Linked DNA regions of Macaca fascicularis. The protein of the gene in region 3 purifies or fractionates together with the protein of the main gene of each other region. This does not show direct contact. Links are inferred from orthologs where the notes say so. Each region holds a gene or a part of one and is shown on either strand. Other genes may lie near its edges.

The links.
Region 1: the proteins of MALT1 (region 3) and CARD11 purify together in Homo sapiens (affinity purification with western blotting; 6 studies listed by BioGRID and IntAct, with this or other methods). This does not show direct contact. The link is inferred for Macaca fascicularis from reciprocal best matches to the Homo sapiens genes MALT1 and CARD11.
Region 2: the proteins of MALT1 (region 3) and CSNK1A1 purify together in Homo sapiens (affinity purification with western blotting; 3 studies listed by BioGRID and IntAct, with this or other methods). This does not show direct contact. The link is inferred for Macaca fascicularis from reciprocal best matches to the Homo sapiens genes MALT1 and CSNK1A1.

Annotation. Positions count from the first base shown.
Region 1 is NC_088377.1:36,476,983-36,480,498, forward strand, and holds part of CARD11 (caspase recruitment domain-containing protein 11), read right to left. Parts: intron 992-3,516; coding exon 812-991; intron 1-811. UniProt on the Homo sapiens protein: Adapter protein that plays a key role in adaptive immune response by transducing the activation of NF-kappa-B downstream of T-cell receptor (TCR) and B-cell receptor (BCR) engagement.
Region 2 is NC_088380.1:156,385,604-156,389,119, reverse strand, and holds part of CSNK1A1 (casein kinase I), read left to right. Parts: intron 1-363; coding exon 364-470; intron 471-2,228; coding exon 2,229-2,377; coding exon of another isoform or gene 2,378-2,382; exon of another isoform or gene 2,383-2,490; intron 2,491-3,516.
Region 3 is NC_088392.1:22,306,361-22,310,610, reverse strand, and holds the start of MALT1 (mucosa-associated lymphoid tissue lymphoma translocation protein 1), read left to right. Parts: upstream 1-1,440; 5' UTR 1,441-1,658; coding exon 1,659-1,867; intron 1,868-4,250. UniProt on the Homo sapiens protein: Protease that enhances BCL10-induced activation: acts via formation of CBM complexes that channel adaptive and innate immune signaling downstream of CARD domain-containing proteins (CARD9, CARD11 and CARD14) to activate NF-kappa-B and MAP kinase p38 pathways which stimulate expression of genes encoding pro-inflammatory cytokines and chemokines.

The DNA of each region.
Region 1 (3,516 bases), on a different chromosome or scaffold from region 3:
TCCCTTGAGGTCTCTAAGAAGCTTATCATTTAAGAAGTTTATTGCCTGGAAAGAAGCAGAAAACTGGCTTCTGCTTGGGAGTATCCTGGGCCTTTTGTTCTCCCTGGCACTTATTAGAGCGCAGAGAAGCAACTGGTGCACCTAGAACACTTCACAGGTGACAGCAAAGGGAAGCTGGATCGGCTTTTTAGATGCTGTCCCTGAAATACTGAGGAATCTGTTCTGGTGAAGCTGGGTTCACCCTCGGCTCCGAAAGAGAGCCTTAAATACCAGGCAGCCGCTCCTGGTGGGGACTGTTCTGGAGGGAGCCAGAGGATGCATGTTTTTTTTCTTGCCCTGCAGATATGTTTTGGGATGTCACTCCTCGGCAGCTTCCTCCTCCATGCCCACAAGTGATTCCACTTTGACAAGTGCGGGGAGGCATTTGAGGTTGGAACAAGTGGCACAGAGCTTAGAGTTGAGTTTTCTGAAATCTTTAAGGGCGTGTAGGTTTCCCAGACGTCCTTGTCTCTTCCCACAGTGCCCAGGGCATTGATTTCCACATGGATGGTGATTTTCCTGGAGTGCTTCAAACAAGGACATGTTTTCCCAAGTATGATCTCCTGTCTCTGACAAATGCGTGGTGGGGTGGTCACCGCTTTACAGAGGAGGAGACAAAGGTGCCCAAGGATGGCATGCATGTCTGTGATCCTGCAGTCAGCGTGGTGTGAGTGAGGCTCTGGGACTCACACCCTGGCAGGTGCATCGTCTCCCCCAACCCCAAGCCCTCACCCTCCCGCTGCCTGCGCTGGCCCCGCCCCCAGGCCCTCACCTGGATGATGGACTGCAGTTCCTGGTTTTTGGTCTTCAGCATTTCATTCTCCCGCTCCAGTTCCAGAACCTGCTCCTTCTTGGGCCGATTTTCAATGTCATTCTTCAGTTTCAGAGACTGATTTCTCTCCAGCTTACATTCCTCCTCCATCTTATTCAACCGGTGCTTTAGCTGATCGATCTGAAACACCCCAAGGGTGCCGAGGGGAGAAGGCAGGTGGCAAGAAACACTCAGAAAAGGCAACGCTACCCCAGATTCCACTGGGCTGGCAGCATAACCTGAGTTATGCCCCTCCTTCTTTCAGGGGCAGAGAAGGGCTTCAAGAAACCTTCTCCAGTAAAACAAACCATCATCTCCCTATTGATGGAGAGTTCCTGATTAGTCTATTTAGAAATAGCTCTAAAGGGGCTACAGACCTCAGAGAAAATTCCCTCAACCTTTGTCGGGTGGAACAGGTTATGGATTTTGGGATAAAAGAGATCCAAGTTGGTGTTTCTCACGTCAACACCCTTCTCTGATGGGTTTTTCAAATTCTGATCCTCAGAACTCAAGGATTCCCCTGAAGAATCCTAGGGTTATCCAGGGGGAAGGAGGAGATGGTTGAGAAATCGGGGTTCTCGGCGTCCACCCTGACTTCACGTCCCAGAACAGCTCTGCTTGTGTGGTTTGTTCTTTGGGGTTTCATACAGATTTTATTTGGATAAATAGCACTGTTGCTAAAAAGGAAGAGGAGGAGGAGGAGGAAGAGGAAAAAGAAAGAAAAAGCAGGAGAAGGAGGAGAAGAAGAAAAGTAGAGGAAGAAGAGGAAGAAGAAGAGGAAGCAGAAGAAGAGAAAGGAGAAGAAGAGGAAGAGGAGGAAGGAGAGGAAGAGGAAGAAGAGGAAGAAGAGGGGGAGGAGAAGAAAGAAGAGGAGGATGAGAGGAGGAGGAGGAAGGAGCAGAGGAAGAGGAAGAGAAAGAGAAAGAAGATGAAGGAGGGGGAGAAGGAGGAGGAGACGGAGAAGAAGAAGAAATAAGGTGGAGGAGAAGAAAGAAGAGGAGGAAGAAGAAGGAGAATAAGGGGGAGGAGGGGAGGAGGAGGAGAAGGAGAAGAGAAAGAAGAAGGAGAAGGAGGAGAAGGAGAAGAAGGAGAAGAAGGAGAAGAAGAAGGAGGAGGAGGAGGAGGACAGCCTGAAATCAACTGAATTGTAATTTAAGAGGATCTCTGGCCTAAAGAACTTCCCTAGACCTAGTGGCAGAAAGAGTGACTGAAGAAGAAGATAGCCTGAAATCCACTTAATTGTAATTTCACAGGATCTCCGGCCTAAAGAACTTCCCTAGACTTAGTGGCAGAAAGAGTGGCTTCCTGGAGGAGGCAGCTATTGCATCTAGAAATGAGACAAGTGGAGATGTGCTGATTTTCACACTCAAGAGTTTAGTGTCAGGAACTGGGACCAGCAGAAGACTTCTTCAACTTGTGAGACTAAACTGTGTGCCTCCCCAAACACACTGGCTTGGCTAAAATATCCCAAATAAGAAGGTTGCATTCAAGGGCTATAAAGAAAGGAGGCACCAAAGCGGAGAGTGTCATTTTTTCAAACCTAGTCTTGGAGGGAGAATCGTCTCAAGGAATCTGGCAGGTAGAGAGCAGTGGCTTTAGTGAGAAAAGTCCAGCTCCTGCACCCCAGTGATTAACCTGAGACGATGAAGAAATGGGCGTGCAGGAAGCAGCCTGAGGCCAAGAAAACCAGCCAGGGACTCTGCTGGCCATATGTTCTTCCAAATTCTACTTATACTTTCTCACTATTAATATATCTCCAGGGAAACATAACACAGGAGAAAGTTCCAGGAGAGAAACTTGTAAGTCCCTGCTACAGGATAACTTCCTCAAATCCTAGGTAAAAACAGCATAGAAATCTCTCCTGCTTATGCAAAAAAAAAAAAAAAAAAAAAAAAAAAAAAAAAAAGGAAAAAAAGCTCCTCAGCATCTTCAAAGCTCAACTCAAGCGTCCCATGCTAAGTCCCAAGTCCCACACGAGCAGGCATGGGGTGCTAGCATTGCGGGGTGCTTATAGGGTCAGCCACTCTGCCCCAAGGCTTACGGTTCAGTATCCCAGCAATCCTAGGGCACAGCTATTACTTTCATTATTGCCATCTGCAAATGAGGAAACTGAAGCCAATAGCTAAGTAAGTAGTAAAGCATAAAGCCAGAATTTGAACTCAAAACTACAGGACTTACAAAGCTCATGCTCCTAACCAAAACACTATTGCCAGCTATGCCACTGACTCCATTCACCTGAATCCCGGTGGATTGTTTACAGATCTGTCTGCTTCACTAAACTGTAAGTGACCTAAGCACAGCTCACGTGATTTATCCCCGTGTCTCCCACAGCGCTTAGCACAGTGCCTCACACGTGGCAGGTGCTTAATAAATATTCTGTGAGTCTATTTCCCACCCAGCAGCCAGAGTGGTCCTTCTCAGATATAAATCGTCACTCCTCAGCTCTCAATCCTTCAGAGGCTTCTCATCACAACTAGAATAAATCCCAAAGTTCTTACCATGGCCCCATGATCTGGACCTCGCCATCCCTTCCACTCCCTTCTGCACCATTTGTTTATTTGGCTCTGGCCCCACTGACTCTCCTGCTATTTCTTTTCTCTTTTCTCTTTCATTTCCTTTCCTTCCTTCCTTCCCTCCTTCCTTCCTCCATCTCCTTCCTTCTTTCC
Region 2 (3,516 bases), on a different chromosome or scaffold from region 3:
TGAGACCCTGTCTTTAAAAAAAAAAAAAAAAAAGTTTATGAAGAGGCGGGGCTTTGATGAAATGACAAATTTTAACAAGTGGGCTATGTAAGTTATTTAAGAACATAGTACTGTATAGGACAAGCACATATGGGAAAAGCATATGTATTTCTTCTACTAATATTGTACATAATAGGGTAGGTAGAGTCATGAAATTTTATTTAAATTTATGAGGAGACCAAGCCATCATTTTAGCTCTCATATCTTCCTGTGAAATGGTAAAATATCTCACCCAAAAATATCTTTTTGCTTGTACTTAAATGCATTTATTTTTCTATCTTGAAATGTTTGTTTTTAACTTTGTTTTAACCCTTGAACTTATAGGGGTTTCCTGCAGAATTTGCCATGTACTTAAACTATTGTCGTGGGCTACGCTTTGAGGAAGCCCCAGATTACATGTATCTGAGGCAGCTATTCCGCATTCTTTTCAGGTCAGTTTTTAAGGTATTTTAAGATTATAAACTCTGTGAGGGAAATTGGTTAAATTTACCTAACAAATTCATTCTGATAAATACTAAAGTAAAGCAGATCTGACTAACATGAATAAAAGATTTAAGAAACTGATTTATTTGGGACTAATTTGGCATTTTTCTATTTGCAGTGTAAATAGGTGATTTTAGTTTGGAGTGGATAGAGAGTTGAATCATACTCAAAGTAGAATGTAACTTTTCCAGAATAGTTATAATTCATATTAGATATAAGTGGCTGTCAGTGCCTTCTGGAACTCTCCAACTTTGTTACAGTACCAAATAGAAAAGCAATTAAAATATCACATAGTCATGGAGTCTAATCAAGTGGTAGCAGTCCTAAACTCGGGTAGGGTTCCTTAGGCACAACCCAGAACTGGTCTTGAAAAAGCGGGGGGGAAATAGATTACATGTGGCTCAAACTCTTAGTTGGAAGAGAATAAGAATTGAGGTAATCCAGCCAGGTACGGTGGCTCACGCCTGTAATCCCAACACTTTGGGAGGCCAAGGCAGGCAGATCACTTGAGGTCCGGAGTTCGAGACCACCCTGCCCAACATGGTGAAGCCCCATCAAAATACAAAAATTAGCCAGGTGAGGTGGTGCTCGCCTTTAATCCCAGCGACTTGGGAGGCTGAGGCAGGAGAATCTCTTGAACCTGGGAAGTGGAGGTTACATTCAGCCGAGATCCCGCCAGTGCACTCCAACCTGGGTGACAGTGAGGCTCTGTCTCAAAAAAAAAAGAGAGAAAAACAAAAAGTAATCTGCCAGACACAATGGCTCACACCTATAATCCCAGCACTTTGGGAGGCTGATGGGGGTGGATCACCTGAGGCCAGGAGCTCGAGAACAGCCTGACCAACATGGTGAAACCCCGTCTCTGCTACAAATACAAAAATTAGCCGGGTATGGTGGCAGGCGCCTGTAATCCCACCTACTCAGGAGGCTGAGGCAGTAGAATTGCTTGAACCTGGGAGACGGAGGTTGCAGTGAGCCAAGATTGCACCACTGCACTCCAGCCTGGGCAATAAGAGCAAAACTTTGTCTCAAAAAAAAAAAAAAAAAAGAAAAAGAGAGAGAGAATTGAGGTAATCCTTTAACCCCAGAAAAGTGTCTTCCCAAGGCACCAGTCAGACATCTTATAACCAAACTTCCAGTTGAATATTTACTCTTACTTGTTTTTAGGAAGTACCTCCTCTTACGAGTATTCCCGTAGATAACTGACAGCTTGACTTGATGTTTCAGTTTTCATGTTGCCTTTTTTATACATAAGAGAAATATTTTAGAAGCTGCCACACTTGAGGAAATATTCATTGTGTGAAGAAATGCTCTCACTGTCTTAAAAAGTTAGTAGATTATAAAGCCGGGCGCTGTGGCTCATGCCTGTAATCCCAACACTTTGGGAGGCTGAGATAGACGGATCATAAGTTTAGGAGATCGAGACCATCCTGGCTAACATGGTGAAACCCTGTCCCTACTAAAAATACAAAAAAAAATTAGCCAGGCATGGTGGCGGTTGCCTGTGGTCCCAGCTACTCGGGAGGCTGAGGTAGGAGAATGGCGTGATCCCGGGAGGCAGAGCTTGCGGTGAGCCGAGATCGCGCCACTGCACTCCAGCCTGGGGGACAGAGCGAGACTCCGTCTCAAAAAAAAAAAAAGTTAGTAGGTTATATAACTGGACTCTGTTATTAAAGGATTAACATAAAATATTTTATGTTTTCCAGGACCCTGAACCATCAATATGACTACACGTTTGATTGGACAATGTTAAAGCAGAAAGCAGCACAGCAGGCAGCCTCTTCCAGTGGGCAGGGTCAGCAGGCCCAAACCCCCACAGGCAAGCAAACTGACAAAACCAAGAGTAACATGAAAGGTTAGTAGCCAAGAACCAAGTGACGTTACAGGGAAAAAATTGAATACAAAATTGGGTAATTCATTCATTTTTAACAGTGTTAGATCAAGGAGGTGGTTTTAAAATACATAAAATTTGGCTCTGTGTTAAAAAAAAAAAAAAGACGTCCTTGGAAAATTTGACTACTAACTTTAAACCCAAATGTCCTTGTTCATATATATGTATATGTATTTCTATATACATATATGTGTGTATATTTATATCATTTCTCTTGGGATTTTGGGTCATTTTTTAACAACTGCATCCTTTTTACTCATTCATTAACCCCCTTTCCAAAAATTTGGTGTTGGGAATATAATATAATCAATCAATCCAAAATCCTAGACCTAACACTTGTTGATTCCTAATAATGAATTTGGTTAGCCATATTTTGACTTTATTTCAGACTAACAATGTTAAGATTTTTTTATTTTGCATGTTAATGCTTTAGCATTTAAAATGGAAAATTGTGAACATGACGTAATTTCAAGAGGTGAGTCTGGCATGACCCCCGAAGTGTCTATCTTCTCAGTTGCAGAGCATCTCATTTTCTCTCTTCAATGCTCAAATAAACGCAAAGCTCAGCACATCTTTTCTAGTCACAAAATAATTCTTTCATTTGCAGTTTAACTACATATGATCTTAATTTCAAAACGATTCCTTTGTTTTTGGCTTGATTTTTTACAGTGTTGCAAATATCAGGCTCCCAGGGTTTAATGTGGAATTGAAGTCTGCAGTCAGGCCTTGCAAATTGAAGATAACTGGGGCAAATGCCATTGAAACCGCTAGTCTATTTCCTTTCTTCCTTTCTCTGGCACTCTTACTGCCTGTAAGGAGTAGAACTGTTAGGGCACACTGTTGCTATACAGTTTGACTCCCATTTTCATGTTTTGTGTTTTTTTTCCCATTTCTGGGGCTTACCTCCTGATACCTGCTTACTTTCTGGAAGTAGTGGGCAAGTAAGATTTGGCTCTTGGTTTCTAATTTTTAAATTTCTGAATGACTGCTCTAGTCTGAACTTGGCCTTTATAGATTAATCTTTGCTTCACATTTTTAGTGTTGTATTTAAACTATTTTATAATTTAAAAATAGATTCTAACCTGAAGATACTTTTCAAGAAA
Region 3 (4,250 bases):
TTAGAAGACCTTTGTTGAATTTAAATTAAAAGGCAGGATTCCCGTAAAGACTAGATTTGATTTGCATAATTGGCAGATGCAGGTAATAGATCCTCAGAAAATATTTGTTCAATGATTGAGGACAAAACGGGAAGGCACCTGAAGTGGTTGGGAAAGGCTTGCCAAGTCAAACTGAGTATGTATGTGTAAGGGTAATAGCATTTATTATCTACGATGTGCCAGTTACCGAGTTAAGTGCTTCACATAGGCAACAACTCTATATAAACTATTTTCAGTCCTGTGTTAATAGATAAGGCAGAGAAATTAAGTAACTCATTCAAGCTTCTAACCCTTGAATCCAGCAGATCTTTCCGGGTCCAAAGGTCATGCTCTTAGCCATCGCACTGCAGTCTGAATTCTGAACTTATGCTAGAGTGAAGTTTAAGGACTGCTTCTGCTAGAAAGAGGTGGAGACTGTATGGCGCACCTACCTCGCCAACATGTATAAGAATATAGGTATCCAAATTATTGATCAGAAAATCCTGCTGCCTTGGGTGATGAAAAGCTAATGGCAACAGAAATTGGGCCAGGAAGCCTTGTGTAGGGAACTATCTGGTCACATTTCTAAGTTACTTCCTTTTTTGTCCCAAACGAAGCCATAGTTTTCAAAGGAATAATGGCCTTGGATGTTGCTAAGATTGGCAGAGAGAGCTCAGGTGTCATCCATTCCGGATCATTCCAGGGAAGGGCATCCTCTACAGGGTTGTCTGCTTCGACGAGGAAGATTGCGGGCGGCAGTCTGACCCGGGAAAACCAGATGATTCCTGCTAAATACAATCATTTCCCAGATCTGATTAGCCTTAAATATGCCACAGCTCAGTTTGCAAAGTAGTAATTTTTTAAAAGTCTAGTCAAAAATTTTGGTCAATTCCAACTCAAGTATCCGGATCTCTAGCACTACTTCCCTCTAGCAATGCCATACACATCTAACCCTAAAACGAGGAAGCGTCCACTGAGGTTGCCCATTGCAGGATTCTGGTGTGTCGCTGGGCACATGCAAGTTCCTGAGTCAGGGGAGAGCGCCCACCGGAGACTGCGGGCGGGAGCCGGCGACGGAGAACCGCATGCCCAGCTCTCTGGCGTGAGTACGCAGGCCTCCTCCCACGGTCTCGGGAAGCCCAGACGCCGCAGGCTTCCTCGCAGTAGAGGAGCTGCCGGGGCGTAGTTCCTCCACCGCTTCCTCCTCCAGCTGCACCCAACCCGTCCTTTCCTGCTCTGTAGGGCCTCCCCACCTCCCGGGTTTGAAGCGCGCGCCACTGCCAGCCCGGGACCGCAGGGGTGGGCAAGGGAGGCGCACAGCCGCACGCCCGCCCGCAGTAGGCGACCCTGCCCCGCCCCTCGAGGCCCAAGGTCCCGCCCCTCGAGGCTCCGCGCCTCGCCCCCCGGGTGCCCCGCCCCTCTGCGTGGCTGGCGTGGCCGGTAGGCCCGGCTCCCCCAGGCAAACCTGTCTGGTTGGGGCGGGGAGCGGAGCTTCCTCCTCCGAGGGCCGTGCCGCGCTGCCAGATTTGTGCTTCCGCCCCTGCCTCCGCGACTCGGAGGCGAGCGGAAGGTACCCCGGGGCCGAGGCCCGTGACGGCGCGGGCAGGAGCCCCGGCAGTCCGGGGTCTCCGGCGCGGGCCATGTCGCTGTTGGGGGACCCGCTGCAGGCCCTGCCGCCCTCGGCTGCCCTCACGGGGCCGCTGCTCGCCCCTCCGGCCGGCGCGACCCTCAACCGCCTGCGGGAGCCGCTGCTGCGGAGGCTCAGCGAGCACCTGGACCAGGCGCCCGAGGGCCGGGGCTGGAGGAGGCTGGCGGAGCTGGCGGGGAGTCGCGGGCGCCTCCGCCTCAGGTGAGCTCGGGGCCGCGGCAGGCCGGGCGAGCGGGCCGAGCGAGGTGGGCTCCCGTGGGGAAGTGGGGGCGCCGTCGGCGGGGCTGAGCGCGGCAGGGGCCGCCGGCGTGAGTGAGCGGAGGTGGGGAGGACTTCGGTCATTGAGACGGAGCGGAACCCAGCAGCCCCCTGGAACGCCTGGGATTTGAGAGCGGAGCCCGGGGCTCCGGAGGGAGGAGGCAAAAGTGGCCCAGCGGCTGCTTAGCTCCCTGTTCCCACCCCCGCCCCTGGGTGAGAGGGAGAAGTCGAGGTTGACTCCGGAGGATAGTGAGAGAAGGAAAGCTGTCAGGAGACCCCTGGGATGGGGCAGTCATCCAGAGGACTTAAAATGCAAAAGAAAGGGATGTGGACACTGCCCTGGGAGACCTAAGGAAGGCTGGGAAGAAGCGCAGGCGAGGTGATGAATGCCGAGGGCGGGGTGCAGGAATTCATGAACATTTTGCAGGGTATTGGAAAAGACTGACGCCGAACTCATCATCTTCCTCCATCAAACCAGGTTACCACGTTCCCTTTTTGACTTCACCATGAACATGAAACTCGAATTAAAACTATTTTTCCTTATTAGGTTTGGAATGGCTGTATTAGAGTTCCTGAAGTTTTGGTCTCGAGACTCCTTTACCCTCTTAAGAATTATTAAGGACCCCAGAGAGCTCTTATGTGGGTTAGAGATAATACATACATGTAATATATACTGATATTTACCGCCATTGAAATTAAAGCTAAGACATTTTAAAAATATTATTTAAAAAGAATAACCCATTACATGGTAGCAGAAATAATACTTTCGTGGAAAAACAAATTTTCCAAAACAAAAAAGTCAATTAGAGAAGTGGCATTGGTTTTCGTTTTGAAGATCTCTTTAATGTCTTGGCTTAATCACAGAGCTGGATTCGTTTATGTGCTTCTGCATTCAGTCTTTTGCACTATTACAGGTCACAGGACACTGGAAACTGCAGTGTCCACTCCTGAAAGAATGAATGAAAAAGCTAAATAAAATCTTAATATTATTATGAAACATCTTTTTGACCTTGTGGACCGCGCGAAAGGGTCTCAGGAACTACACTAGGGGTTCCCAGACCCCACTTAGAACCATTACTTTATACCATTGTTGTAATTTTGGCCTGCCTTTGAACCCCTTAGCAGTTTTTTAAACTTCTCAAATGACTATGATTTGTCTTATAGTATAATTATTTGTACACATCTGTATAAATGCCTTAAGAACAGAAACCGTCTCTTAATATTGTTATGTGTAGAAGTTAGTAAATACTTGATGAAAGGGAAGTCATTTATTCAAAATGGTATTAAGTGCTTACTATTTGCTAGAAATTTTAGAAGATAAAAAACTTAACAAATATTAAATTACTAATCATAAGGGGTTATCCAGTAATGGACTATTATTTGGGGACCTTTACAATGACATTAAATGCTGTGTTGGATATGAATGATAGTGGATTTTTGTCATTTATTGAGGACATGGTATGTACCATAAAATGTACTAAATATTTACATGCTGCTGCTGCTGTTTCATTCTTCTTTGTTCTTCTTATTTTTGCATTATCTTTTTTTTTTCCCCCAAGATGGAGTCTTGCTCTGTCGCCCAGGCTGGAGTGCAATGGTGTGATCTTGGCTCACTGCAGCCTCTGCCTCCCAGGTTCAAGCAATTCTTCTGCCTCAGCCTCCCGAGTAGCTGGGATTACAAGCATGCGCCACCACGGCCCGCTAATTGTTTTTATTTTTAGTAGAGAGGGGATTTTGCTGTGTTAGCCAGGCTGGTGATCACCTCAGGTGATCCATCCGCCTTAGTCTTCCAAAGTTCTGGGATTACAGGCGTGAGCTACCCTGCCTGGCCACATTATTTTCTTAAACCCTCCTGTCAACTCTCAGTTTCAGAGTCTGGGATTGAGGCAAAGGGTAATAGTGATTTGGAATTATTGCTTGTGCAAAGGAGTAATGATGTAAGGAGGGAATAACTAGCAAGACCTAACAGAGAGGTGGCATTTTTTTTTTCTGTTCTGGGAAAAACATGTTGGGCTTTTGGATACGCAAAAAAAAAAAAGTCCAAAATACTGTTATGCTAGGTCCATAAATTTCTGAATTTCTGGACTTACCATAATGTAAAAAATTGTCTTTGGGGGCAGATCTCCAGAGTATTACAGTGTTAAGAGTACTCTAGTTAGGGAAGGTTCTGGGCTTCCTGAAGAAAGCCGGGTGTGGAGGACTCCTACATGGCCGTGAAGGAGGGAGAAGAAAGTCAGCAAGGCCCTGCCAGGGCAGAAGCATGGCTGCTGGAATCCAAAAGCAGTGGATACTTGATGTTGGGTGTTGTGTTTTCTTTGCCTGCCTT